6 linked regions of the Macaca mulatta genome follow. The protein of the gene in region 1 interacts with the protein of each later gene in a pairwise test. Links are inferred from orthologs where the notes say so. Each region holds a gene or a part of one and is shown in the gene's direction. Other genes may lie near its edges.

The links.
Region 2: the proteins of TFG (region 1) and CSTF2 interact in binary tests that used the Homo sapiens proteins (3 or more experiments, as listed by UniProt). The two-hybrid records come from large-scale screens. The link is inferred for Macaca mulatta from reciprocal best matches to the Homo sapiens genes TFG and CSTF2.
Region 3: the proteins of TFG (region 1) and PEF1 interact in binary tests that used the Homo sapiens proteins (3 or more experiments, as listed by UniProt). The two-hybrid records come from large-scale screens. The link is inferred for Macaca mulatta from reciprocal best matches to the Homo sapiens genes TFG and PEF1.
Region 4: the proteins of TFG (region 1) and MAGED1 interact in binary tests that used the Homo sapiens proteins (3 or more experiments, as listed by UniProt). The two-hybrid records come from large-scale screens. The link is inferred for Macaca mulatta from reciprocal best matches to the Homo sapiens genes TFG and MAGED1.
Region 5: the proteins of TFG (region 1) and MAPK1IP1L interact in binary tests that used the Homo sapiens proteins (3 or more experiments, as listed by UniProt). The two-hybrid records come from large-scale screens. The link is inferred for Macaca mulatta from reciprocal best matches to the Homo sapiens genes TFG and MAPK1IP1L.
Region 6: the proteins of TFG (region 1) and BOLL interact in binary tests that used the Homo sapiens proteins (3 or more experiments, as listed by UniProt). The two-hybrid records come from large-scale screens. The link is inferred for Macaca mulatta from reciprocal best matches to the Homo sapiens genes TFG and BOLL.

Annotation. Positions count from the first base shown.
Region 1 is NC_133407.1:182,891,204-182,896,121, reverse strand, and holds part of TFG (protein TFG), read left to right. Parts: intron 1-2,777; 5' UTR 2,778-2,820; coding exon 2,821-3,004; intron 3,005-4,918. UniProt on the Homo sapiens protein: Plays a role in the normal dynamic function of the endoplasmic reticulum (ER) and its associated microtubules. Required for secretory cargo traffic from the endoplasmic reticulum to the Golgi apparatus.
Region 2 is NC_133426.1:107,720,009-107,723,939, forward strand, and holds part of CSTF2 (cleavage stimulation factor subunit 2), read left to right. Parts: intron 1-907; coding exon 908-1,018; intron 1,019-1,822; coding exon 1,823-1,945; 3' UTR 1,946-1,948; intron 1,949-3,931. UniProt on the Homo sapiens protein: One of the multiple factors required for polyadenylation and 3'-end cleavage of mammalian pre-mRNAs. This subunit is directly involved in the binding to pre-mRNAs.
Region 3 is NC_133406.1:209,249,311-209,253,460, forward strand, and holds the end of PEF1 (peflin), read left to right. Parts: intron 1-181; coding exon 182-325; intron 326-1,971; coding exon 1,972-2,201; 3' UTR 2,202-2,947; downstream 2,948-4,150. UniProt on the Homo sapiens protein: Calcium-binding protein that acts as an adapter that bridges unrelated proteins or stabilizes weak protein-protein complexes in response to calcium.
Region 4 is NC_133426.1:51,752,044-51,757,642, forward strand, and holds the start of MAGED1 (melanoma-associated antigen D1), read left to right. Parts: upstream 1-2,365; 5' UTR 2,366-2,376; coding exon 2,377-2,421; intron 2,422-5,599. UniProt on the Homo sapiens protein: Involved in the apoptotic response after nerve growth factor (NGF) binding in neuronal cells. Inhibits cell cycle progression, and facilitates NGFR-mediated apoptosis. May act as a regulator of the function of DLX family members.
Region 5 is NC_133412.1:128,181,348-128,186,700, forward strand, and holds the start of MAPK1IP1L (MAPK-interacting and spindle-stabilizing protein-like), read left to right. Parts: upstream 1-1,804; 5' UTR 1,805-1,951; intron 1,952-5,353.
Region 6 is NC_133417.1:102,701,786-102,707,232, reverse strand, and holds the start of BOLL (protein boule-like), read left to right. Parts: upstream 1-1,861; 5' UTR 1,862-2,436; coding exon 2,437-2,457; intron 2,458-5,447. UniProt on the Homo sapiens protein: Probable RNA-binding protein, which may be required during spermatogenesis. May act by binding to the 3'-UTR of mRNAs and regulating their translation.

The DNA of each region.
Region 1 (4,918 bases):
TATATGTCAGGCACTTTTCTAGGTGCTGCTGGGAATAGATAATACCAGCTTACTGAAGCTAAGCACTGGGTCCTTTTACATTATTCCTGGTTTACACTTCTTGTAGAAAGGAGAAGGTAACAAATACATTGATTTTTTGAAAGATCTTTATTACTCTTAGGCTGCAAAGCAAACAAGATGGAATATTTACCATCTTGGTGAAATAATTATACTTTAGAGCTTGGCACATAGTAGGTATTTAGAAGTAATTCCTGAATGCAGAAGGCATTGCAGAAGGCGAAGAGTTGATTGTATGGAGATTTCTGTTAATCACTGTCTTCATGAGAAGTCCATTGTAAGAACTGGCAGATAAAAAACTAACTGTATTCTTACTTTGCGTTAAGATAAGCATGGCATCTCTAGAGTGGAATGCAGTTCACTCTATTCTGCATTGACCTTAAAGTGTTATATTTAGTTTTAATGACCCATTTCATTGAAGATTTATTAATAAAATATCTGTTCAGAGCATGGTGAGGGGTCTAGAGATACTAATTTAAGGACTAGTTAGGTGAAAGGACGAAGGGTATTTATATGAAGAATAGTAGGGCATTAATATATAATATTCATATAATAGGATTCATGGAAACTTTTTTCAAGTACTTGAAGGGTTGATCTGCTGGGGGAGTAGGTGAGTGCTTTCACACACCCCGAAAGAATAAACAATAATTGCAGAGAAGTGTGGTGTTAATGAAATAACAGATTTAAGAAGAGGAAGCAGAAAGCTGCTAGTAGTAAGACGGGAAGTTGAAACTAGAATGTGGCCAGTAGGTGTTTTTGGACACCTTTAAATGTCTCAGATCATTTTCTTGGGGCAGGAGGAGGAAGGAGTTGATGCTTAGGAAATGTTCAGCGTTTATAGATAACATTCAGGAACATCTTGGCCTTGAGAAGAAGAGATATTAACCCATTATTTGATAAGTATATCCTCCCTTATTATCTAGCAACTATTTAACTTGCTAGAGACCTTCAACATTATTTTGAATTTAAAATTACACAGTCATGGCTGGACTTGGTGGCTAACGCCTGTAATCCCAGCACTTTGGGAGGCCAAGGTGTGTGGATCTCTTGAGGTCAAGAGTTCGAGAGCAGCCTGACCAACATGGTGCAACCCCATCTCTACTGAAAAAAACAAAAATTAGCTGGGCGTGGTGGCACATGCCTGTAGTCCCAGCCACTCAGGAGGCTGAGACACGAGAATCCCTTCAGCCCAGGAGGCGGAAGCTGCAGTGAGCTAATAGTGTGCCACTGCACTCCAATCTGGTGACAGAGTGAGACTCCATCTCAAAAAAAAGAAATAAATAAACAAAAATACAGTCATTACAGGATAGTCATACTGAATAAAATCAAAGATTAAAATAAAACCTAAGGGAAAATTCTGTAACGAATTAGTGTTTAGTGGCTAGTTGTTTGACACTGTCTTATTTAATAAAGTATACAGTCCATTCATACACACCCACCCAGGTGGGAGAGTTAGGGAGTATGCAGCACAGTAGTGGACAGTCTTTAAACAGTTCAGATGGGTGTTACTAATTTGTCCTTTCTCCTTCAGTTCCCCCACGTAGAGAGGAAATTAAAGACATACTCATGAGATCTTTCTTAGAAAAACTTGAGGCTCTATTTGAGTATTCACACATAACTCTGTCTTCAGAGTTAGCATTTACAGTTTATAGGATAATAGAGTTTTAAAGCCAGTAGTTATTTTTCCCTTTATTTAACAGCTATAGGATGACTATTGTCTGCCAGGCACTGTTGTAGGCTCTGGGAATACAGAAAACATAATAGTTTACTTCCTGCCATCAAGTGGAAAAGACAATAAAAAGTTACAAATTTTTGATGTCTGGTAGTGTTAAGTGCTTTGAAGAAAAATAAAGCAGGATAAGAAGATAATGACAGGGGAGCCATTTTAAATTAGATGGTTAGCAAAGACCTCTCTCAGTTCACAATTGATAAGGAATCTGAATCATATGAGGGGTATCAGAAAGTTTTAAGACAAAGGGAAAACGTGAAGTATGGGTATAGCAGGGGTGAGTGAAGAACAGAGGTAGGAAATGAAGTTAAATACTTGGCCAGGGACCAGAGGCCAGATGATTTTATAGGTCTTGCTTTTTGAGATGAGAATGCATTGGAAGGTTTTGAACAGAATGATGCTAGGTTTTACCTAACAGCGTTAACTGTGATGGTGAGACTAGATTAAAAGTGGGCAAAGGTAAAAAGCAGGCAGACTGGTTAGGAGTCTTTTCTAGTCGTTTAGGCAAGTGATGATGGTGGCTTGAGTCAAGTTGATAGCAGTGAAGGTGCTGAAGTGGTTGGACCCCAAAGTTATTTTAAAGGTAGTGGCAACCATATTTTGTTGGCAGTTTGGATATAAGGTTTGAGTGAAAGAGATCAGCCAAGGTTTTTTTGTCTTATACAACTCAAAGAAGTAGGATAAAGAGGCCTATAGGAGAGGCAGTTTTAGATGAGAGATCAGGAATTTATTTTTAGATATAGTAAGAAAAATCTAAATGGTAATGTCAGATGAACAGTTAAATATGAGAAAAAATTATAGTAGACATAAAAGCTTATTTTATTATCCCTAAAGTAAAATAATGTTGCCTCCAGACCATTTTAACATAAATATTGTAACATGGGGATAATGAATCTTTTGGAGGCCGGAGTTTCTTAGCATCTAATAGTAGCATTGCTCTCAACTTTTAAGATATGTTTTGTTGTTTAGTTATCAAAACCATTTTTATCAGTCTTTCTCTAGAGTTGTATATATAGAACATCCTGGAGTCCACCATGAACGGACAGTTGGATCTGAGCGGGAAGCTAATCATCAAAGCTCAACTTGGGGAGGATATTCGGCGAATTCCTATTCATAATGAAGATATTACTTATGATGAATTAGTGCTAATGATGCAACGAGTTTTCAGAGGAAAACTTCTGAGTAATGATGAAGTAACAATAAAGTATAAAGATGAAGGTAAGAGTGTTTTTAAAGCTATTTTTTAAAGTCCTTTTTTTTTTTTTTTTTTTTTTTTTTAAAGAGACAGAGCCTCTGTTGCCCAGGCTGGAGTGTCACCTCAAACTCCTGGGCTCAAGCAATCCTGCCTCGGCCTCCCCAAAGTGCTGAGATTATAGGCATGAACTGCCATGCCTGACCTTAAAGTCTTAAGTATTGTATATGTTATTTTGCCCATTTTTATTGGACTCTTTCCCGTCCTCTCCTTCATGGTGGTTGGGCCCTTTCTTGTATTGAATGCGATGTTCATATAGTTACTATAATTCTCTTATCAGTTAAAAATAGCTAAGTGGGGCCGAGCACAGTGGCTCATGCTGTAATCCCAGCACTTTGGGAAACTGAGGTAGGTGGATCATTTGAGGTCAGGAGTTCGAGATCAGCATGGCCAACATGGTGAAACCCTGTCTCTACTAAAAATGCCAAAAATTAGCCGGGCGTGGTGGCATGCACCTGTAATCCCAACTACTTGGGTGGCTGAGGCAGAGAATTACTTGAACCCGGGAGGCGGAGCTTGCATTGAGCTGAGATCGCTCAACTGCACTCCAGCCTGGGTGATGGAGCAAGACTCTGTCTCAAAAAAAAAAAAAATTGCTAAGTGGTTTATTAGAAGGGAATTTTAAGTGTTAGAACATTTTCACATACATTTTTACAAGCATTGTTTTCTCCTTTTGTCCATATAATTCTGGTTTCTTTTAGCCTGAAAAAAATTTTTTTTTCTATTCTTATTTCCCAAAATGAAAGGTTTTAGTATGCATGGAATGAAAAAGGCTTTCATGGTCAACTAAGTATGGGAAAGCTGGTTTAAGCAAAGACAAAAGTGTTTCTTTAGAAGTTTTCAGATTATAATACGTTTATATACGTTTTCAGAAGTTTGTAGTATGCAGTGTTCCCAGACACATTTGTTGACAAAATTCTCTTTATGGAAATAGGTTTTTCCATAAAACTATAAAAAACTATAAATACATCTATAAATAGTTGTATTTATAGTTTTTTGAGGAACCTTCATACTGTTCTCCATAGTGGCTGTACTGTTTACATTCCTACCAATAATATATGAGTTCCCTTTTCTCTTCGTTCTTGCCAGCATTTGTTATTTGTCTTTTTGATAATAACCATCCTAACTGGGGTGAACCTCATTGTGGTCTTCATTTTCCTGATATGTGTGCATTTCCCTAATGATTTGTGATGTTGAGCATTTTTTCATATATTTATTGACCATTTCTATGTCTTTTTTTGAGAAATACCTGTTCAGATCATTTGCCAATTTTAAAATTGGATTGTTTGTTTTTTAGCTGTTGAGATGTTTGAGTTCCTTGTATATTCTGAATATTCATCCTCTGTCAGATGTGTAGTTGTATTTCCTCCTATTCTGTCAGTTCTCTTTTCACTCTCTTGTTTCCTTTGCTGTGCAGAAAAGCTTTCCAGTTTGAGATAATCGTATTTATTTTTGCTTTTATTGACTGCACTTTTGAGGTCTTATTCTTGAAATCTTTTCCCGACCTATTAAAGAGGTTATCCTTTTCCTAATGAGCGGTCTTGGTGGTTTTGTCGGAAGTCAGTTGACCATAGATAACATGGATTAATTTCCAGGTTCTCTATTCTGTTTCGTTGTTCTATGTGTTCCGTTGATCTATGTGTTCTCTTGGTCAATGGGTCTGTTTTTATGTCAGTTCTGTTGTTCTGTGGGTCCATTTTTATGCCAGTCCGTGCTTACTACAGCTTTGTAGTGTATTTTGAGGTCAGTAAGTGTGACACCTTCAGCTTTGTTCTTTGCTTAGTATTGCTTTGATTGTCTGGGGTTTTATGTAGTTCTGTACAAGTTTTATGATTTGTTTTTAAATTTTTGTGAATAATTTTATTGGTGGTTTGATAGGG
Region 2 (3,931 bases), on another chromosome or scaffold:
CTAACAGTTGTTTATCTGTATTTCTTTTATGTTTTGCTGCTTCTAATCTGCTGGGTAAGCAGGTAACAAGTTTGTTAACAAAATGTATTTATTAAGAGAGTACCTAAGCCCTGGGTGAATGCCTGAGTGTGAACATAATGCTTGTATAGGGACATTCTTATAGTTACATTTGGTACTCAAGAGGTCTTTTCCTTGGGTTCTGCTAGTCTTGCAAAGGGTTGAACTTATTGAAGATCTTAAATACCAGTAAGTATGATATCACTGTACTTTGTTCGTTCACTCAAGTCAGTCATATTTTTTGGTCTACATTTAGCAGAAAGCATCTGCCATATGTTCTCTATGGAAAGCTATAAACAGCAAATGTTGGGCTAATAGCAGTCTTTTGCCTGGAGGCCTTCCCATTGCCTTTCTAACTCTCTGACATTATGAACATCTCTGCCTCACTTGTGGGATAGGGCCCTTTGGGACAAACTACCTGTGTCTGATTGAACTAGGGTAGGGGGTGGCCCTGTGAATTTAACTTCCCCAGTGGACCAGAATACATTTTCTCTAGACTCTGTTGGCTTTCATTTGTGTTTCCAGTGAGCGCTAGTTTCCAGGGTGCTCTCAGTTCTCCCTTTGCTTATTTGGCTGAGTTTTGATTAATTCAGTGGTATCCAGTTGTGCTGTGTGGTATTTGTTGATGGTGCTGGAGCTGTTGTAAGCAAGTATGTCAAACTTACTAGTTGATCTCTGGCTAAACGCTGCCTTCTGCTATTGCTAACAGTAGAAAATGATCTTCAGAGTCATTAGTTTGCTGTTTTTACTCATATCTGTGTAGGGATCGTAATTTTTCACGTTATTACTGAATTCAGGTTAGCTATACATTAAAAATCCCAAAAATCTCTTTTTCTCTTTGTGCACATAGGTCCCAGTCATGCAGGGAACAGGCATGCAAGGAGCGAGTATACAGGGTGGAAGCCAGCCCGGCGGCTTTAGTCCTGGACAGAACCAAGTCACTCCACAGGATCATGAGAAGGTAAGCAACACTGTCTGACTGCCTCCTTATGCACAATTCTAGCCTTTTTGATTCCTCTTTTCACAGTTACCATGTGGCGATCCTGGGTCTTCAAAGTCCCTTTGGAGGTGATGTTTATTCTAACTTAGAACTCTTTTATGATCTTGTTACCTGAAAATTTGTGAGTCTGGTCCTGAAGTTGCTAATGGATGTGAAGTTCTTAAGTGGATGTAAATGGCAGCTTATTTTATAGTTCAGACTCATCTGCCAATAGCAGGTTTTTCTTGTTCAGGCCAGAGTGACCTGAAAATCCGCACCCTTTTTCCTTCCCTTTCTACTTTATCCCTAAAAACAGTAGTAGATTCCCCATGATTATATCTTTCTGTTTTTATATTTGACCATTGTGGGGAGCTTATGTCTGAGGGAAAGGCTAAAATTTGTGAAAAAGAGAGACTTTCAAAACAGGATTAAAACCTGAAGGATTTCCAGGGCTCACAGATATTATCTTAGTCTCCAGGAACTTTGAGTTCATGAAGTTGTCTGTTTTGAATCGTCTAATCTTAGGTATTTTAATTTATACTTGTTCTTTTCATTGTAGCTTTTCTCACCAGTTTTGTTTTTTTTTTTTGTTTTTTGTTTTTGTCTTTGTTTTGGAGGGGAGCTGTTGGTTTCTTGCTGTGTGAAATGTTCTTCCTTTTTCCATTTTGCTTCATATCCCACTACAGTAGCTTTTTGGATAGAAGCTGGTGGTGGGTTTTTTGTTTTGTTTTGTATTTTTTAGCTGCCATCATTAAAACTGACTACCTTTTTTTTTCCTCTACACAGGCTGCTTTGATTATGCAGGTTCTACAACTGACTGCAGACCAGATTGCCATGTTGCCTCCTGAGCAAAGGCAGAGTATCCTGATTTTAAAGGAACAAATACAGAAATCCACTGGAGCACCTTGATAGGTGAGCAAACTTAATCCCATCTGAGTAGGACTAGCTCCTTGTCTATTCTCAGTATATACTTTTAACCTTAACCAACAAGATTGTTCTCTCAGCGGCCCTCAATCCACTTAGCTAGACTCTTCTTTACCCTTCAGTAGGTTAGCTCCTGTAGGGATAGAGTAAGGCTATACAATATTTGTTCAGTTGTTGAATTGCTTATAATCTTTCCTAATGACAAAGGTAATGTATGATCAGTTTAACAAAAGTAATCGGCCGGGCGCGGTGGCTCAAGCCTGTAATCCCAGCACTTTGGGAGGCCGAGGCGGGTGGATCACGAGGTCAGGAGATCGAGACTATCCTGGCTAACATGGTGAAACCCCGTCTCTACTAAAAATACAAAAAACTAGCTGGGCGTGGTGGCGGGCGCCTGTAGTCTCAGCTACTTGGGAGGCTGAGGCGGCAGAATGGCGTGAACCCGGGAGGCGGAGCTTGCAGTGAGCCGAGATCACGCCACTGCACTCCAGCCTGGGAGACACAGCGAGACTCCGTCTCAAAAAAAAAAAAAAAAAAAAAAACAAAAGTAATCGTATATAGAAATGTAGAAAGTGAAAGGTAAAAAGCCCTGTTTCCTCTATCTTGTTCCCCAGACAAAACCTCTAAATATAGTTTGGTGTGTATCCTTCTACAATCAGTTGTATTATTTTATTCCAAACTGTCCTGTCAAAATGGAAAAAATACAGAGCATTTCAATAAAATGTGTAAATATTTTGTTTCCTGTATTTATTTTACAGTGAATATTTCGATGTTGAACTATTATAGCACATAATTTAAGGTAGTAAATGTCCATCATCACCATCAGTTTCTATATATTTTGGAGATCGCTGTACCCTGCTACCTTTATTTTTCTTGCTCATCATTTAGGCAGAAAGAATCCAGGGGCCAAGCACAGTGGCTTAGCCCTGTAATCTCAGCTTTGGCGGGCTGAGGTGGAAGGATTACTTGAGACCAGGAGTTCAAGACTAGCTTAAGCAACATAGTGAGGCTCCATCTTTACAAACACTTTTTTAAAAAATTAGCCAGGCATGGTGAGATGCGCCTATAGTTCCAGCTACTTGTGAGGCTGATGTGGAAGAATCGCTTGAGTCTAGGAGGTTAAGGCTGCAGTGAGCCATGATTATGCCACTGCACTCTAGCCTGGGTCACAGAGTGAGACCCTGCCTCAAAAAAAAAAAGAAAGGATCCAGGTAACCTGCTTCATAAATAATTATGTGACAACTTGATTACACATACATGTATCAGTGTTTCCTTTTAAAAAAAAAAATTTCCCCAGCATTTTGTATTTTATAAACAATTCTTTTTTCTAAAAACAGTTTAAAATTCACGTTGCCCCACTATCAGGTAGGACAGCACAATTTAAATTTCTACTTTTCACCCCATCCATATTATAATTCCTATCCTTATGTTATATAATAGTGAACTCATTTAACTATTAGTAATTATCACTCTTACAAAATATATCATTTTAATCCATATTTGTGATGTCTTTAAACGTTTAAACTGCAACTATGCATCATATATGTATTTAGACTTCAAATGAATTAATGAGAAGCTATCATAGATGGAGGGCTCTGTAGACTTTTGGTACCTTAACGTTTTATTCCACAAACCCCACATATTCTTTTTTTTTAAGTAAAAGTATAGACTACCTATTACATTCAGAGGAATAGATACAAATTATTTCTCTTTTACTAATTTACTTATGCCAGAGAAGGCATTCCCTACAATGTGAGAAAATTACTGCTTACTGTTTCTGGATAGTAGAGGTAGAAATGTTTCTGAAATTTCTTTCATTATATTTTTGCTTATAAGATGTTTAATTTAAGGCCTTGCATATTAACCACAGGGCAAAGTTTTTGTCTATTTTTTTTACCTTTTATTTTTAAATAATCATAGACTCAAGGAAAGTTGGAAAAATAGTACAAGGAGTCTCATATACCCTTCACC
Region 3 (4,150 bases), on another chromosome or scaffold:
AGGAGGACGGTGCAACGCTTGATGTGGGTGTCTCAGGTGCAAGCATCTAGGCCCTAGGCCTTGGTTCTGTGAAGTCGCCTACTCCAGCCTGGGGAGAAGGGCTGCCTCAGTGGGGCCTGAGGGGGACCCTTGGCTTTCAGTCTTGAAGCCTTACTTCCCTCCTTTCCCTCCTCACCTTCAGACATGTTTGACAAGACCAAGTCAGGCCGCATCGATGTCTACGGCTTCTCAGCCCTGTGGAAATTCATCCAGCAGTGGAAGAACCTCTTCCAGCAGTATGACCGGGACCGCTCGGGCTCCATTAGCTACACAGAGCTGCAGCAAGGTGCGGGTCATGGCTGGGGCACGATGGGCAGGACAGAGCTAGACTCTTCTCTTTACACCCTAAGATACACAAAGGGATTTCCTCTTGCTACCGAATGTCCACCTGCACTACAGAATGCTGTTCTCAGTGCAGGCCTGCGTCCCTCACCCCTTCTGTGACCCAGTTGGGGCACTGAGCCAAGATCCAGGGCAAGGAAACACCTGGGTCCAGAATCAGGGCTGGACCCTGGAGTGCTGGGTGAGATGGGCCCAGCCACAGGGAGCCTTAAGGATGGAAAATTGGCACCTTAAGGGCTATGAGACCAGTGTGTGTGGCTGAGGTGACTCCTTCCTCTCCAGTTTCTAGCATGTAGAATGGTAAGAGCCCTGAACAGGGCTCAGAAAGATGGGCCTGTTGCCACCCCTGCTAGTGGGCAGTTTCTCTCCCAACTTTGGGACCCCGAGCACTCTAAAAGTTGCAGTTGGGGAAGATGACCTGAGGCCACAGCCCCAGGTCTGGTTCCAAACTGACTCTGTAAGGCAGGAGGCCACAGTTTGGGCTCAGGCAGGTTAGTAAGAGGTTGGGGGGGAGGACCCAAGAGGGAGCTTTGCCACCCAGGCGGGAGAAAGGGCTCCCCAGAGAGTCTAGTCCTTTGCCCAGGCTGTGGATTTCATTCAGACTAAGGAGGTCGGTGGACAGGAGTGAGTGCACCACATCTGCCCCCAGCAGAAGGGAGGGGAGATGGCCTATAGTAATGACCTACTCTTGCCAGCTTTTGCCATGGATATTAGTAAGGGTGATAGTAACCACAGCAAAACAGATATTTACTGAATGCTTGCTATTTTTAATAGGCTTATGTGATTCATTCTTCCCATGTGATGGTACTATTTATAATTCCACACCCTTCAATTAAGAATCCCTTATTATCTCCCTTTTACAGGTGAGAAAACTGAGGTTTAGTGTGGGTAACCTGCCTAAGGGCCTGCATAACAAATGGAGAGTTGAGGTTTTAGCCTGGCCTGGTAAGTTATGAACAGAGGAAGGAAGGAAGCAAGCATCCCAGTGAAGAGACAGGATGCTCCAAGAGACCTTGGAGTGGCGGTGACTTTATTAAAATAGCACTTACTGAGTGCTTTTTATGTGCCAGTCACTGTGCTAAGTAGCTTTACCCATTTTAATCCTTGCTAGAACCTACAAGTTAAGTATTATCCCCATTTTAGAGATGATAAGATAGGGATAGTGAGGCTAAGCAACTTGCCCAGGGGCTGACTCCAGAGCGGGTCCTCATACCTCTGCTGTGCTGCCTCTGATGTCTGCCCCAAGCAGGGTGGTCCTGGGAGCTCAGGCTTCCTTTTGGAATGCAAATGAGTCAGAGATGATTGTGGATAGTCCGTTGTCATCTCTGGAATCCCATGAGCCTCAGTTGAAGAGACAATAATGGAGACTGGGAGAAAGAGGGATGAGGGCCTTCCACCTAAGGGTAGCATCCAGACAGGGCCCCTGTTGTGTTCCTGATATCTTAGACCCTTGGGATTTCTCTGCCCTCTTTATGCTTCTGTGCCCGTCCTCTCGAAGTTCCTTGAACTGCTGTGATCCAGTATTGCTGATTGATGGAGGTGCTCATGGCAGGTTTTTGTGTGTCTGGTCTGTGTGCCCCTCTTCTCCAGCTCTGTCCCAAATGGGCTACAACCTGAGCCCCCAGTTCACCCAGCTTCTGGTCTCCCGCTACTGCCCACGCTCTGCCAATCCTGCCATGCAGCTGGACCGCTTCATCCAGGTGTGCACCCAGCTGCAGGTGCTGACAGAGGCCTTCCGGGAGAAGGACACAGCTGTACAAGGCAACATTCGGCTCAGCTTCGAGGACTTCGTCACCATGACAGCTTCTCGGATGCTATGACCCAACCCATCTGTGGAGAGTGGAGTGCACCAGGGACCTTTCCTGGCTTCTTAGAGTGAGAGAAGTACGTGGACATCTCTTCTTTTCCTGTCCCTTTAGAAGAACATTCTCCCTTGCTTGATGCAACACTGTTCCAAAAGAGGGTTGAGAGTCCTGCATCATAGCCACCAAATAGTGAGGACCGGGGCTAAGGCCACACAGATAGGGGCCTGATGGAGGAGAGGATGGAAGTTGAATGTCCTGATGGCCATGAGCAGTTGAGTGGCACAGCCTGGCACCAGGAGCAGGTTCTTGTAATGGAGTTAGTGTCCAGTCAGCTGAGCTCCACCCTGATGCCAGTGGTGAGTGTTAATTGGCCCATTATCGTTACTACCTGTGTTCCCTCACCAGGCCATCCTGTCACACGAGCCCATTTTCTCCAAGGTGGAATCTGACCAAGCATGAGAGAGATCTGCCCATGGGACCAGTGGCTTGGATTCCGCCACACCCATAAATCCTTGTGTGTTAACTTCTAACTGCCTGGGGCTGGCCCTGCTCAGACAAATCTGCTCCCTGGGCCCCTCTGGCCAGGCTCTGCCTCCGCGGCTGGGACCCCTCACTTGCCTGCCATGCCCTGCTCGGCTTCAGTCTCCAGGGGACAGTGGGCACCTCTCTCTGCCAATACTTTTTTTAATTTGCATTTTTTTTCATTTGGGGCCAAAAGTCCAGTGAAATTGTAAGCTTCAATAAAAGGATGAAACTCTGGGGTTCCATGTTTTCCACCGTGATTTCTCAGCTACAGGTCCATCCACTCCTCCTTTCACTGACTATTTAAGTACATCCTATACACCAGCCATGCGGAAAGCAGCAGCTTGTGGGGACATGGCCTATGTGGGGCTCCTATCCACTGCCAGAGGGAAGTGAATTGTAGGGTAGCCAGCTGGGGGCCCTGCCGGGTTCAGTTCAGTATGGCCTGAAGGTCTATTCAGGAAGCTATTTCATAGCAGTTTTAGGGCAGGCATTCTGGGTTGAAAGCAGCTACCTCAAACTTCATAGCCTGGCCTTTCTATTTTCTCAGGCCCTAGTTTTATCTTCCAGACAAACTCCATTTATTAAGTCATAACTTTCCCCCCATTTTTATTAAGCACAGACATCTGTACTTGCAAGTCAGATCTTTAGATCAGCATAATACCCAGTCTACACCGAGTGTCTGTAATGAGCTGACCACATTTCAATCAAAAGCCAAAGACACCAGACATTCTAGTTTGCCAGGGGGCTTTATTCTGGGTAATGGTGATTATCTTTTGGCTTTTTGAGATAAAGAGCTCTGAGGCCCTGTGCAGGGCTCTCCTCCCTGCAGTGGGTAGTTGGAAGTAACTATGACTGTTTTGCAGGTCAGTGAGGCCCAGCAGTGTGTCGGGCTTAGCCAGGTCAGCTGCATTCTCCTCTGGGCTGCTGTAGTGCTAGAATCCCAGCATTAGATGAAATCCGGTTCCCAGAGGCCAGCCCCTATCCAGAGCTATAATTCCCTTCATAGGCCCCATGTGAGTCTGGCCTCTGCTTCGCCAAAGGCAAAGAACCCAGTGCCTTTCCAGGCAGCCCATTTCCTCCATGACTGGCAGAACATCTTCCTGGTGTGGATTCTAAATCCTGCCATCTTGAAGACACCACCATTGGCTGTGGTTTTCTCTGTGGGCCACTCAGGACATACATCACCCTTTCTGCATGCCAACCCTCTACATAGTGGAGCCTGCCCTATATACCACATTTTCCCCAAGTCCTCCCTTCCCTAGGCCAGATAGCCCTGGGCTCTTGAGCAGTCCCTCGCTGAGCATCTCTCCCCTCGGCATCCTGTTCACCTCCCCTGAATTTTCTTCAGTTTATCTGAGTCCCCCAGAGTGGAGGGCTGAGGCCCCCCATGGTGCTGGGTTCAGCCAGCAGAGCGTGGAGTAGAACTGCAGCCATTAGGA
Region 4 (5,599 bases), on another chromosome or scaffold:
ATTTTTAGTAGGGATGGGATTTCACCATGTTGCCCAAGCTGGTCTTGAACTCCTACGCTCAAGGGATCCACCCACCTTGGCCTCCCAAAGTCCTGAGATTACAGGCGTGAGCCACTGTGCTCAATCTCCTTTAGTTATTTTTAAATATGCTATAAATTATTGTTAACTATAGTCACCCTATTGTGCTATTGAATACTAGATCTTATTCGTTCTGTCTAACTGTATTTTTGTACCCATTAACCACTCCCATTTTATCTCTCCCTCTCTGCTACTCTTAGCCTCTGGTAACCATCATTCTACTCTCTCCGTGAGTTCAGTTTTTTTTTTTTTTTTTTTTTAGCTTCCACATATGAGTGGGAGCATGTGATATTTGTCTTTTTGACTCTACTTCTCTTTTCTCATCCAGGCTCCATGGAGGGGAAAGAAAAGGGAAAAGGTAGACAAGAAAGATTGGTAACTTGGTCTTGACCCTGCTACTCACGAGCCTTAACGTGTCTTCTTATCTTTTCTTTTCCTCACCTGCTAAAACCTCTGCAGCCCTACTTCTGCAAGCCTTCACTCTTCAGGAATTACTAGGAAGTTCTACTCATACTGGGAGCCAAATGGGATATCAGGGAGATGGGTAGGAGAATCAGCAGTACTACTAGGGATATAGCACTGGAAGATAGGTTCTTAGCGTCTCAGTGTTAGCCCTCTTTTGTTAATTTCTCATAAAAGCACATTGTTTTATTAGTGGTCTTTATAACAGTATTGGAAAATTTCAGCACCAACATAGGTCAAACAATCTTATGTAGTCCAACGTAAGTACCTAATTACCATTTACGACATTTTCTTTTTTTAAATGGAAAACTGTTTTGGAATGTAATTTTCTTATAAATGGTAGTTTGGGGCTACATTTAATTCGTGAAAGTTAGTAAGAAAGTAGAAGAAGAATAAAAGTTTGAGTTGACAAATCCCATATGTGAATCCTTTGAGATGTTTATTAAACTAAGGTGTTATATTGTGGTTAGATTTCAGGAGGTAAAAAGTGGTAGAAATTACTTTATTTCGTTTTTCTTTTTTTCTTTTTTTCTTTTTGAAACGGAGTCTCACTCTGTCGCCCAGGCTGGAGTGCAGTGGCCGGATCTCAGCTCACTGCAAGCTCCGCCTCCCGGGTTCACACCATTCTCCTGCCTCAGCCTCCCGAGTAGCTGGGACTACAGGCGCCCGCCGCATCGCCCGGCTAGTTTTTTGTCGTTTTTTTTTTTTTTTTTTTCTACAGGAATAAAATAGTGGAATTGTTCTCTGATACCATAAGTCAGTCAACCAATCTCTCCCACCCCACACACATACATTTAATTTTTTTCTATATTCCTCGAATGTGAGGTACCTTTAATTTCTTAAAAAATCTCAGTAAGTGTGCTGTTGCTGAATCAGTTTTTTTACATTAAGTACTACAGGGTTTCATCTGTCATTACTTTTTATGCTAACCATTTTGTAACTTTTATCTGAATAATTAAATACTTGTAACTAAATTATGTTTGAAGATTCTTAATCTATATAGGAGAAAACTTGTTTTATTAAATTTCATTTATTAGTGTTATTCATATTAGTAAAGTGTCTACTTTTTCTCTGTGGTTGTCAGAAGCTGGAGAACACCAAGTAATTTAAGATTTATTTGATTTGAGACTTTACCATAGTCAGGATATTTAAAGATATTTAACTAGGGGCACTATATGTATTAAAAGCTGACTTCCACTTTATAAAATTACAAAATATTAAAACATGCAGAAAAGTGTAAATAATAATAAAACAATGAACACTTTTGCATTTATTGCCTAACTCAATACATTTAGAAAATCGCAATGCAATTGAAGTCCCCTCTATGAACCCCCAATCACATCCTACTCCTTTTTCTCTACATGTTGCCATTATCTTCAATTCAGTATTTATCATTCCTTTGCATTTCTTTTGATTTTCCTACTTATATAAATATCACTTGAAATATATGAAATTATTTTGCTTTTTTGAACATTATTTATATGGCAGAAATGTATGCATTCTTCTACAAACCTGCTTTTTTATTGTTCATCATGGTATTTGTCAGGCTCATTAATGAATATAAAACTCATGCATCTATTTATAATCTCGTATAAAATCATAATTAAAAGTCTCACTCCATTTTTAATGTTTGACTGCTGACAGCTTTGAAGTCTTATCTCTCCCTGTTCTCCCTCTGTCCCACATCTGAGCAAGATAAGAAAGCCATGATGCAGTGTTCTTTACCACCAGTGTAAAGTTCAAACCACAGGTGAGAATCCTCACCCCAGCCCCACCCCCAACCACCATAAAAACCCAAGCCAGTGTTCTCTCCTTGCTTTATAAAGCCATGTTTGGATGTGTCTGAGAGCCACCCCTGCTCTCTGCAGAAAACCTCATTATGTGAGTAATCAGCTTTTTTATGAATGTTGGTGTGTGTTTGTTTGGTATCATTGGTGTTGACATTCAAACCAAATTTTGAACTGGTGTCCATCCCGTCTTTGTGGAGTATTCAAAAAATTATTTCAGTGTTCTTTTGTTAATGGATATTAGGTTGTTTCCTTTTTTTTTATAGTTGAAAACAATGGTTCTATGGATACTTTTTGTTTTTTCTTATTGATTTGTAGAAGTTACATTTATATTCTGGATATGGATTCCTTGTTAGTGTTGCAAATATCTGCTCTCAGTCCGTAGTTAGTCTTTTTACCTTAACGGTTTCTTTTGTAGTACAGAGGTGATGAATTTTGATATAAATTTTGATCAAATCTACCAGTCTTTTTATTTATGATTGATCTTTGTATCTTTAAGAAATATTTCTCTGATTTGGAGGTTATAAAAATGCTCTTCTAAATGTTCTAAAACCTTTAAAGTTGATTTTTCCCATTTAGGACTTTGATCTATTTATTTTTTGTTGTATAAGTTACTTCTTTTCTTGTAATGTCTTTGTCTGGTTTTTGTATCAGGACCATACTGGCCTCATAGAATGAGTTAGGAAGTATTTGCTATTCTTTAATTTTCTGGAAAAGTTTGTGTAGTACTGGTATTATTTCTTTTTAAAATGTTGGTAGAATTTGCTAGCGAAGTCATCTGACTCTTTAAAATTTCCTTGTGGGAAGGTTATACAGATGCTCCTTGATTTACAATGGGATTAAATCCCGATAAACCTGTTTAAGTTGAAAATACTGTAAGTTGAAAATGCATTTAATACACTTATCCTAGCAAACATTGTAGCTTAGCTTAGCCTACCTTAAACATGCTCAGAACACTTAATATCAGCCTACAGTTGGGCAAAATCATCTAACACGGAGCTTCTTTTATAATAAAATGTTGAATAGCTCATATAACTTATTGAATACTGTGCTGAAAGTGAAAAGCAGAATGGCTGTATTGGTGCTCAAAGTTTATTTTTTATGGAATGTATATCGCTTTTGCGCCATTGTAAAGTTGAAAGAGCATAAGTTGAACCATCATAAGTTGGGGATTGTACTAATTTAGTTTATTTGTTTCTTTGTTATTAATGTGTCTTTTTGTTTTTCCTGCATTGTTTCCAGAGTTTTTAAAAAAATCTCTTAATCAGATTGATTGTGATGAGCCTTGTAGTTTCCTTCATGTTTCTTTTGCACCAAATATGTTGATATTTTTTGATTTGGGGGTTAAAATTATCACTAAAATAATGGCAAAACCCACAATTAATAGTAACATATGAAGAAACAGTGGCTAAGAATTTTAGCTGCCTTCCTCTCCCGAGAATCATCTCCTTACCTCAGGGGATCTGCCGGGTGAAAAGTATTAATACTCCTCTCATCTTCTTTGGGGACTTTAATTACCTGTGTATTAAGTTGCTTGCCATTGTTCAACAGTCCACTGATATTCTTCATACTTCAAAAAAATTCTTTTCTGTCGGTTTCATTTTGGATGATTCTTATTTCCATTGTTTTCAAATTCTTTAATCTTTCCTTTTCCATAGTTTAATATGTCATTTATCCAATTTGGCGTATTTTTAAGCTCAGATATTATTATTTACATCTCTAAAATTTTAATTTGGGCGTCTTTGTTATAGTTTTCCATGCCTCTACTTAACTTTGTAAATGAATAGATTATGTCATAACTTTTTAAATGTCCGTGTCTGGTAACTCTAACATCTGCATCAATTGTTGGTTGGTTTCAATTTATTGATTTTTTTAAAAAAATAATTTCAAGCTTCTTTGCATTGCTGGTGATGTTTGTTTACATTCAAGCCTTGTGGATTTTACCTTGTTGGATGCTAGATATTTTTATATAACTAAAAATTTCTTGAGCTTTATTCTGGAATATGATGAAACTACATGGAAACAGTTTGATCCTTTTATGTCTTGCTTTTAAGATTGATTAGGTGGAACCAGGGTGGTGCTCAGTCTATGGAAAATTATTCCTTGCTGGCTGTTGGTAACAGGTGCTGTTCCTGTCCCAGTGTAAGTGATGAAAAGTGTTCTTTCTAGTGATTTCAAATGGTTCTCTCCCCTGCCTTGGGTAGTTTCCTCTATATACACTAATGTATACTCTGTTGAATACTCAATGGACCCTTTACAAATCTCAGGAGTTCTTTTTCTGCACTGTTTCCCCATTCTGCTAACTATTACCTGCAGATTTTAGCTGCCTTCTCACTGGACTCTGAGTGTTGTCTTCTTACCTCAGGGGATCTGCCAGGTTCTGTCTCAGTTATTACCCTTGCCTGTGGCATAATCTGAAAATTCTCTCAGGGAAGTATGCTGGGGCATTTATAGGGTCACCTTGTTTCTTTACCATTTCTCAAGGATTATTGGCCCTCACTACCTGATATCTATTGTTCTGAAAACAATTTACTTTTTAATTTTTCAACTAGTTGGGTAAATGGTCTCTGTCATTCCATCTTGCCCAGAAGTACAAGTTCAGCTGAGAGTTTAGAAAGGGTTAAGATTCTCATAAGTTTTTTATGTAGGGAATCTTATCAACTCTAAATATTAATAGTTTCCTTTATTCATTTCTAATCCTTACTCTCTTCTGCCTTCTCCTTTTCCTCCTTCCTCCTACTTCCTCCCGCACCTCTGGATAGGGTCTTCAGTATAATGAATGAAAGGGATGATAGCAGTGATTCCTGACTCCCATTATTAAAGGGGGAACACATTTCTAATGTCATTATTTGTTTTTTACAATGAAGACTTTGTGCTCTTCTTTCACATCAGTTTACAAGTGCTGTTTGACAAGAATTTCCTGTAAGCCCTTAAGATATTGAGTAACAGTTTAGTGCTTAAAAACTGTCAAGCAACATTTATCGTATGCCATCTTTCAAAGTACTTACCTGTATTAATGCATGAGAGGCCCAAAACAAACATAAGAGGTAGGTACTGTTATTATCCCCACTTTACATATGAGAGACAATGAGGTTAAATACATTTCCTAAGGTTGCACATAATATATGGTGAGGCTGAGATTCGAGTCTAAGAAACCTGGCACTTAGAGCCCAGGCTTCTTCTGCACTGTACTTCTCTGCTCGTAACTAATATGAGAGTATTAAATGCAATTGTCAGTCGGTTCATTTAAATGACCACAAAGACATTTCTAG
Region 5 (5,353 bases), on another chromosome or scaffold:
AGTCCACAGGGACAGGAATGGCCTAGATCTAGACCCCTCCAATGTGCTCAGCTACTGGCTGATTGCAGGCAAGGAAAAGTTGGAGGCTATCCATTACTGGTACAGTGCCAGGACTAGGGTATGGTGAGGCACTTGGGCACAAATATTTGACTAATAGACTAAGGAAGACAATGTTTTGGTGCAATATTGTAAAATCAGAATTGATGCCAAAAAAAGCCTATGATGAGCAAGATACCAAATTTCAAATCAAACATGACTGGATTGCTGATTTCTTGTTGCTTCAGGCTTCACCATGGCTCCACAAAGCACTGCTTATTCACTGTCTCCAGTGAGGACAGGCTAGGTCCACACTAGTCGTGTAATTTTCCATAGGCCTGTGTGCCCTTATCCAAAAATAAGACTCTGGGCTTAGATATTTTAAGTTCCTCTGTTGCCCCTTTTTCAGTGTGAGAATTGTGTTTGCTGTGGAATACATCCAGGGATGTCTTCCTTTAAATAAGTTCACAGTTTTAAATGGCCACCCCCTGACTCACTAATGCCTTACACAAAGCAAGATGCAAGTGCACCACATGCTTTTAGGATATTTTTATACGTTAAAAAAATGTATATTGGCCGGGCGCAGTGGCTCACGTCTGTAATCCCAGCACTTTGGGAGGCCGAGGCAGGCGGATCACAAGGTCAAGAGATCGAGACCATCCTGGCCAACATGGTGAAACCTCGTCTCTAAATTAGCTGGGCAACGTAGAGCGCGCCTGTAGTCCCAGCTACTTGGGAGGCTGAGGCAGGAGAATCGTTTGAACCCGGGAAGCGGAGGTTGCAGTGAGCTGAGATAGCGCCGCGCCACTGCACTCCAGCCTGGCAACAGAGCGACACTCCGTCTAAAAAAATACATATATTGCATATATGTGTCTATTTTGCACACCATATAATTGTCACGACATCTTTATTGCTAGTTAGTAGGTTCCTTGACTGGGGTCATGTCATCTGTGCCTGACACAGGAGGTAATGTTTATTCAGAAATGAAGATCGTGGCTGGGCGCGGTGGCTCACGCCTGTAATACCAGCACTTTGGGAGGCCGAAGAGGGCGGATCGCTTGAGACTAGCAAGGTGAGACCCCATCTCTACTAAAAACACAAAAATCAGCGGGTGTGGTGACACACGCCTGTAGTCCCAGCTACTAGGAGGCTAAGATGGGAGGATAGCTTGAGACCACCAGGCAGAGGTTGCAGTGAGCCGAGATCGCGCCACTGCATTCCAGTCTGGGTGACAGATGCCTCGTCTCAAAAACCACAAAAAAGAACATAGGAGAAGAGGCATTGATGAGGAAAACTCAGCAAAGACAGCAAATATCAATTTGTTAAGCTATTTGCAAAGGTTTTCTCTTTCCTGTATTAATCTTTTCCCTCTCCCCACTTTTGGCCCGAGGATCTGAATCGTTCGGTCAGGCAGAAATCAGACCGCGTCCATACCCAGCCTCCTTCGAGGCCTAGCTGTAAAAACCGCTGAGCAAAGGGAATCCAGAATCAGCCCTCAAGCAACTCAAGACAAGTTAGCAATTTCCGCCGGTATGCCGTGAACACCGGCGACCACTGGCGTTTCCTCTGAGTCCTCGGAACTCCGGAAACTCTGGGAGCTTTCAGCCCGCCCATCAGGGGAAAGCGGCCCGGGGCCGGCGCCAGGTGGAGCCCATCCCCCTGCGTCTGGCGGGCCGCAGTACCGCCAGGGGCCTGCGGGAGGCGCACGCGGCGCGGCCTGAGGGGAGGGGGAGAGCGGGCGGAGGCGGTGCGCTCGGCGCTTCCTGTTCCGGCGCCAGGAGGAGCCGCGCGCTGCTGGTGCTGTTGCCGCCGCTGCTTTCCCTGCCGTCAGTCAGGCTGCGCCCGCTTCTTCAGGGCCCAGTCCCTCGGACCCATCGCCGCTTCTAGACCCTACTGCGGTCTCGGATATTGCCGGGTGAGGCTGCTTCGGTACTAGTGGGAGTCGTGAAGGGGAATCGGGGGGCTGGGGTTGCGGAGCCCGCGGGCGCGGCCAAGCGGGAAGCGGGCGCGGTAACTGAGGTGCATCGAGTCACGTCCAGTGCTCGGGCCGTGGTCGCCTGCCTGGGACCGGGGCTAAGCGTTTCTCTCGGTCGCCTTCCTCCACGCTGCGGGCTGCCTGGGGATCGCCCCCCAGGGAGAAGGTGTAGGAGGCCGCTGACGTCGCGCCCGACGAGTTTCTGGGCGCCTGACGTCAGGCCTGGCTGCGGGGCGGGGCGGGCGCGGGCCGGCCCCTCCCCCACCCTTTCCCGGCGGGCGCGACCCGCTCGGAGGCCGGTTCGCTCCGGTTGATCCCGGACTCCCTTTGTTCGTGCGTCCCTAAAAGGCTGCCGGCCTCGCGCCTTTTGGCCCCGATTTCCCCTCTACCCCCACCCCATTGCACCCATTCATTAATTTCTAATAAAAAGGGAAAAGCCTGAAAAGATTATTACAGGAATCTCGGGCGCTTGTTAATCCGCAGTGTGACAACGCTCTGGTTATGACTCACTAGAGGAATTGCCCACGGATACGTTAGATGAATACCCAGGGCAAACCACGAGAAGGGCAGAATTTAGGGATCTCCTTTTTAGGACTGAAGAGCGCATACCTACGATAGCTTATATATAGGGGGACCGTTTTCCTCTTTACCTTGAAAAGCAAGAGTACAGCTTTTAATAGGTAAAGATTGCAGTGTTAAAGCATGAAGCCGGACTCGCTCGACCGAAAAATTTTTTTTTAGTTTTACTGCTAGAGAAATACACACCTGGGGGTTGTAAAGGTCTGTTTTGAAAAGGAACCCTCATGACAGGCAAAGGTAGCCTTCAGAAACATTTTGTAAGTTCTTTGTTCACTGGTGTTCTTTGAGGGAAGAATAGAAATTTTTCATGCTGGCATCTCTGAGCCCACAATGCAAAGCGAGTTTGCTTCAGAAACTTGGAGTGAATTGCAAATATTGGAATGTTCTTTTCCTCTCTCCAGGAGGAATGGGTAATATCCATCCCCAGTCTCTTAGCTGAAACTTTTGAAGCTAGTGTGTTTTGAATTCAAAAATACTTGGATTTTATCTTCATCTTTTTAGAAAGACGACATGTTAGACGAGAGATAACACCCCCAGCAGAATGGGGCACCGCATCATCCAACATTAATATTTGCAGCAATAGATGTGAGCATTCATTCTAAGTGGGGGCGAATAGAAACTATAAATAGCTTCAGGTCACATTTTGCCACCATGTAAGATTTGTGCCAAACTTGGGAAAGTTTATTTTTTCGGAAGTCTCTGGATTGAGAAGGGCAGATAAAGATTTATGGACCTAAAAGTAGGCATCGTAAAAGCTAATATTTGTTGAGGTTTTGCTATATTCCAGGCAGTGACTAAGAGATTTGTTTATTATATAAGTCTTAGAGCAAATCTATGATGTGGATACGATTCTGATCTCCCTTTGCCTCGAGTTTGGAGAGTTGGACTTGTCAACTCTGGCCAGTCCAACCAGTGAAGAGCTGCAGTTGTAGCTGGATGGTCATACTTTAGCGTTTACTCTTTTACCTATAAGCTAGATGTCCACATACAAGGGAAAGAGAATTTGGTACCTGTTTTCCACCCAAGCATTATTTTAGGCACTTGATTGGACAGAGTCCAATTTAGTTCATCGCAGCATTACTGGTCTGGTTGTTTTTTGTTTTTTGTTTTTAACTGCGTGCTTTTTACAAACAGTATGGCCTGTTCTTTATAGTTCAGGTTCATTCAGATGAGCCGACTCTTACTGAAATAATTCAAACCCTCGTCTAAGGTCTCTCTGCTAAGACTTTCCCCTTCCCTTGCTATATTCTAACCCATCTGAACTGCTTATACCTCCTCACAGATTCTCCCAATTTTTACACCAACTGCTCTTCTTTCCCTAGGACCCATGTCACCGCCCTCTACTCCCAGCTCTTTCCTTATGGTCCTTATGGACTGCAAAAGACAGCACATCTCAGGAATCTCCATGTAATACTAAAATTTCTCTAAAGCCCAACACATTGTTTGGCACATATGTTCCAATAAATATATAACTAAATGCCAAGAAATATTGCAGGTTGCATATCCCTTATCCCAAATGCTTGGAACCAGAAGTGTTTCAGATTTTGGATTTTTTTTTTTATATTACACCAGTTGAGCATCCGAAATCCAGAATGCTCTAATGAGCATTTTCTTTGAGCGGCATGTTGGCACTCAAAAAGTTTCAGATTTTTGAGCATTTCAAAACCCCCGTTTTTGAGTTGCCCAAATGTAAAAAATGGAACATAATCAGATAAATGAGCCAATGCTGAAAACTAGCATGTATTCTAATTTATAACTTTTTATTTTTGGAGACAGTCACTCACTGCAAGTTCCGCCTCCTGGGTTCAAGCGATTCTCCTGCCTCAGCCTACCGAAGTAGCTGGGATTACAGGTGTCTGCCACCGTGCCCAGCTAATTTTTTGTATTTTTGGTTGAGATGGGGTTTCACCATGTTGGCAAGGCTGGTCTTGAACTCCTGATCTCACGTGATCCACCCCCCTGGGCCTCCCAAAGTGCCGGGATTACAGGCTTGAGACACTGTGCCCAGCCATTAATTTATATTTTCAGTATGATACATATCATCCCATGCATACTAAACAAATCAACCCCAAAATTTTGATTTTATTTAATTTCGCCTAATAAATATCTAACATGTATATAGCACTTTATAGATTAAGTGTGTTACTATTTTCTGTGCAGTGGGCAGGAGCTATAACTTCTACAGATGGAAAATGGTCTCATTGAGAAGTTTATTTTTGTCAAAAGATACCGTCAAAAAGGATTGATGTCTGGGTTTCATCACTGTGTAGTCCCATACTGTTTATTACTCCGTCACAATTTGAAGGCTCTGTGAAATATCCATGAACTCCACTAGTAATTCATGGAGTTCAACTCTCTTAACCACCCTCCTCCCTGACCCATGATTGAATTGTCATTTTTACCCTAACAGCCATGAGAGTTTCCAAAATGTTATGTTTTACTTTTCTAGTGTATGTCAAAAGAAATTTTGTACTGTTTTAAAATTACTATTCTTGCTGCTCAGAGAATAAAAATTATTATTTTTCAGACGATGGGTGGATCGGACGATGCTATAAAATGGTAACAAAGTTTTGGAAATAATCGCTTTAGATTATTCCAAAAAGGAAAAAAAAATGAAAGCCTTTCTTAAGTATACATTTTTTTTATGAGTTCAAGGTTACATTGGCCTCATCTTAATAATCAGCAGTGAATCAGATATTTTGGAATAGCTTTATATTTTTATTTATTTTTCTTTTTGAGACAGAGTCTCACTATATTGCCCAG
Region 6 (5,447 bases), on another chromosome or scaffold:
TGGGGTGCATTGCATAATTTTAAGGGGTTTATCCAAGTTTTAAAGTTGAACATTCCTTTTGGTGTAAGAATTAATAGTAAGAGGCAGAACAGAGAATTGCCATACTGAAAATAAAGTACCTCTAGTACCCAACACCAGCCTTGAAATACAGTTAGTGTTCCCTAAATTATGTAAATTTTTTTCAGATTAAACACCTACTGCGCCGAATACATTTTTTTAAGAGAATGCAATTCTTGAAAATAAGTGTTTTCAGTCAAAAAAGATTTGGGCAAGACAGGATAGTAACATCTACCCAAATCCATCAACAGTCCTAGGAAAAAAATAATGCCCAAAGAAGATTAGTTCTACTGGTATTGAACAGTAAAATTATTATGCTTTAGAATATGAGTTTTCATCTAAATAGGTTTGTATTCTCTATTTCCACAGAGACTTAAACCTGACAAAATGAGCTTAAATTGCGTGCAGAAATGTATAATGACTTTAGGGATTCTTCGGGTAAGATAAACAAAAATTGTTTCCCATTTTATTTTGGGTAAATAATATGAAGAGCTAATCTTTGAACAAATCAAAAATTAATATAGTTACTCTTTTTTTAATTCTATATCTTGAAGGCAAAGTAACCCAAAGTCAAACTTTTATAGTAGTGTGTACAGTAGTTATTACTGGTGTAACTTTTAATAGTTGTTACTGCTGATTCTTTAAAAATATATGGCAAAATGGTTAAGATCAAGAACTGTGGGTTGGGGGTAGACCCAGGGTTAAACCTCCTACAGCTTTAGATCTTGACCAAATTACTTATCCTCCAAATCTCTGCTTCATCACGTGCTATGACGATAATTGGAGCATCTATCTGAAAGGTTGCTGTGAAAAGGAAAAGATTAAATGATACTGATCATAAAGCATTGTGCCTGAAACAAAGTACTTGATAAATGGCAGCTATAATAATCATCATTACTATAAGTTTATCCAGTTGTAATCATTTTAGCTACCTACTAGAAATATGTATTCTTTCCAAAGCAGTCTTCTTTCAGCTAGGCATGGTGGCGTGGGCCTGCCTGTGGTCCCAGCTACTCAGAAGGCTGAGGTGGGAGGATCGCTTGAGCCCAGTAGGTCGAGAATGCAGTGAGCGTGAGATCGCGCCACTGCACTCCAGCCTGGGCGACAGAGTGAGCCTTCGTGTCTAAATAGTTAACTGGACGGGCAGGGTGGCTCACGCCTGTAATCCCAACACTTTGAGAGGCCAAGACAGGCAGATCACTTGAAGTCAGGATTTCAAGCCTGGTGAAACCCCTTCTCTACTAAAAATACAAAAATTAGCCGGGTGTGGTAGCAGGCACCTGTAATCCCAGCCACTCGGGAGGCTGAGACAAGGAGAACCGCTTCAATCTGGGAGGTGGAGGCTGCAGTGAGCCGAGATCGCGCCACTGCACTCCAGCCTGGGCGACAGTGCGAGACTCCGTCTCAAAAACAAAAATAAAAGTAATTAGTTAATTAATCATTAATTTTTTTTTAATGCAATCTTCTTCCAAAGGCGATCACAAGGCTGTTGGAGGCTGGAGCCGCTAAGTCGCCCCCTACCACGCGGGTGGCTTCGTCCGGGACCATTCCAGAGGCTGTGCCACTGCTGGAGGTGCTCAGCGGGGCCGGGACCCGCTTGGGGCACGGTCCGGGGCGGGCACCGGAGCCCGACTAGGCTGAGCGGCAGGTCCTGACGAAGCCACCCGCGCGGCCCCGCCCGCCTGGCGGGATGAGTGACGGCGGCAACAGGTGCAGAGAGGCGTCCGCGGCTTCTCAGGAGCCCCCGAGTTTGGCGCGTCAGGCCCCGAGAGTCAGAGTTTGACTCTAGAACCTTCTTCGCATTACACCAGTCTTCGGAAGTCGCCCGTCAATCGGCTTCTTCCAGCCCAGTAAAGGCTTAAGGTCACCTCAACCTCTCGAAACCCACCAGTCCCAGAGGCCGACTCTTCTCAAGTGGAGGAGACGGGAAGGCGTGCCGTGCATGGAGCTTTGCCCGACCGCTCGCTCTCTCCTCCCCAGCCGTCTGAGACCAGGCGAGAGGGGTCCCAGAACAGAGCTCTCGCTCCGCACGCCCCACGCCTGCCCCGCTGTGCCGTGCGCTCTGCCCCTGAGACGCCCCGGCTCGGAGTCCCAGAGCCGCAGCCGAAACTCGCCCGCCCGCGCCCCTCTCCGGCTTGCGGCGCCCGCCCGCACCGCCGCCTGCCACCCGAGGCGACGCCGTCTGCTTCTCCCCACCCGCCAGGTGGCAGGTTCAGGGCCCGGGTCTGAGCCTGCTCCCCTGCAGCTGCCACCGCCGCCCTCGCCGCCAGGGGGCGAGAGTCCCAGGCAGGACAAGCAGCGCTGCTGCCTTGGCGTGAAGGTGGTTTCAAACTTTAGGCTTCTCTTCCCTACCCGCGTCTCTGAAGAGCAGAGAGGAAGATGGAAACCGAGTCCGGGCAGGTGAGTACGGCGATCAGGGCCCCAGGGCGCGGGGTAGCGGGGAGAAGGAGCAGCGTGGAGCCGGTCCCTGAGCGCCTGGAGGGGCAAGGTGAAGACCCCAAACGCTCGCTATCTGGTTAGGAAGAAACGTGGCCAGGTGCCCCATCGACCGCTGCCAGGAGCCGCCCGCCCGCAGACCTCGTCTGGCTGTGTCATGGGGGTCAGGAAGGCGCCGCCACGGGGCCTGGACTGGGTGTAGACGGGCCAGGGGACCTCAGGCGCAGATGTTTCGGGAGGCGGCGGGCTGCCGGGCACCCAGCGGAGTCCGAGCAGATAAACTGCTTTCCCGCCGAAATTGGGCTAGGCAGCGTCTTTGACGCTCCCTCCGGCCGAACTTCGACCCATCGGCCCAGAGCGAGGAGTTGTCAGGGCGGTCGACGCCTCCACTCCCCGACTGGTCAGCGAGGACCGGAAGGTCTGAGAGACCTCGCGGGGGCCCGCCTGTGGCCCAGGTGGGATCCGGACACTGTAGCACTGGCTGTGCACCCGAGCCAGTCAGGGCGGACTTGGGGAAGTGAAGGAAGACGGCCCACACAGGCCCGAGCCGCAGCGGCAACGTGCCGTCCCGCCCCGCCCCGTCCCGCCGCCAGCAGCCAATCAGGGAGCGCCGCGCGAGGGTGGGGACCAGCTGCGCACGAGGCCAGCGGCGGGGTCTGTGCCGTTGAGGGTTCCCGCCACTGCTGCTGGCGGATTTGCGGGGCAAAATTTCTCGCTGGCTAGCCTTCTTTTCCCTCCCGCACTTTGGTGGGGAGGGGGTGGATCCTCGTTTTGGTGCCCAAGTTCACGATGACCCGAGAGAACTCGAGGAAGTTGTCGCCGCGGCCATTTCCCCCAGTGCCGCAACTTGCTGGCCTTGGAGGGGGAGGAGCGCCGAGGCAGTGACTGCGACGGTTAGCCCGCCCGTTCCTGCTGTCTTCCTTTGCAAAATAGATGCTAGATCTCGAGGTTGACTTAAGGGGAGGAGCCAGTGAGGGCACATTGCTTTGGAGGAGAAGTTTAATAAACTCTCTAGTGCTGGAAGTTTTAGCAAGCGGAGGAGACTTCAGACCCGACAACAGTCCCCTTCTAGATGCTTCCGTAACACGTGCGGAATTTATTGCTAGTTAGAATTTGAGGCTTTCTTTGTTGTTTAACTCAATGCATCACTAATTGTTAATAATGAACTTAGATGTTGCCTCTACCTAAGCCTTGCTATTGCTAACATTAAAATATTTCGTAGGCCTGGTGCGGTGGCTCACGCCTGTAATCCCAACACGTTGGGAGGCTGAGGTGAGCGGATCACGAGGTCAGGAGATCGAGACCATCCTGTCCAACATGGTGAAACCCTGTGTCTACTAAAAATACAAAAAAATTAGTGCACGCCTGTAGTCTCAGCTACTCGGGAGGCTGACGCAGGAGAATCTCTTGAACCGGGGAGGCAGAGGTTGCAGTAAGCTGAAATCACGCCACTGCACTCCAGCCTGGTGACGAGCGAGACTCCGTCTCAAATATATATATATATATATACACATACACACATGTGTATATATATATAGTAGACTGCTGTTATACTGTATTCTTTTGCCTTCAGCCTATTTGGCATATCGTGAGCAGGTCTCTCCTGAAGAAATGATTCACTTTTAGTCGTTCAACAGATACTCATTGAGCACCTGCTGTGTACTGTCAGTACTTTAGATGCTGCCGTGAAAAAAGCAAAACTCCTGCCCTAGTGCATTACATAATAGTGGAGACGGATAATGGACATAATAAGTAAATTATATCGTATGTTAGAAAATGATGAGGGAGAAAAATTAAGCAAAGCGAGCCCACATTAGAGCAGGAGCCTTAGGGACTGGAGGAGAGTGAAGTGAATTGAGTGTGAAAGGTTTTTCTTTTCTCAGGGAGTATCCTTTAGTTTCTCGAGATTGGAAATAAAGCACTGTTTACTTCCGTTCATTTCATCCTTCCCTCGATGAAATATAATGGGGTTTGTCTTTTACTTAAACTTGCAAACAAATTAGTACATCTTATTTTCAATAAGAGAATTTCATGAAGAATGATTTTTTTAATTTAGCAAATAGGTAACTTTGACACTGTAAAAAAATGGGCAGAAAGACAAGATTACATCTAGTAGTGCTGTTATATTATTTCTAGCAATACAAAATCCACAGTTGAAAAATACTAAGCATTCCAGAATTACCCATTCTGAGCATTATATCCTACTGAGCAAAGTGACTGATGTCACAAATAACCTCCAAGTGCCCAGAGAGAAAGTTGTTAAGATTAGATTCCCAGTTTCTTTCATTGGAAACTACAACATAGTAATTATTAAATGTGGTGGCTTTTCCGTGTTTTAAAAGAAGTATTTACGTATTCCCTTATTAGGAGTATGTACTTCCTTAAGGCTGGATGGAGAAGAGAGCCCATAAGGTCCAGCCTATAGCCCAATTGCCACTCCTGCCCTAGTCATTTCTCTGTACATCTTGCAAAGATTAATTGAGGGATTGTGATTGTATTGACCAGAGAAGAAAGAACACAAATTTGAAAAAGAACAACTCTATTACCTGAACTGGAAATTCATTTTCATGTGTTTGTTTCTCAGAGAATTTGAATTATGAACTTCAAGATTTGTTATTTTCTTTTTCTTTCTTTTTGAGACGGGGTCTCGCTTTGTTGCCCAGGCTGGGGTTGAACTCCTGACCTCAAGCAATCCTCCTGCCTCAGCCTCCCAAGCAACTGGGATTACAGGCACAAGCCACAACACCCAGTTTACTTCAAGTTTTTTGAAGCACACATTTAGGATATTAGACTGTCTCAGAAGTGTGTTTAGTGTTTCCAGATGGAAAATAATTCACCAGTTCTTGAATTGGTTTCTCTTCTACATGATTCTCAAGTCCTGGTTTTCTTTCAGTTATACCTTAAAAGTCTATTATTTTACCATTCTGCAAAGGCTTATACATTTATATATGTTT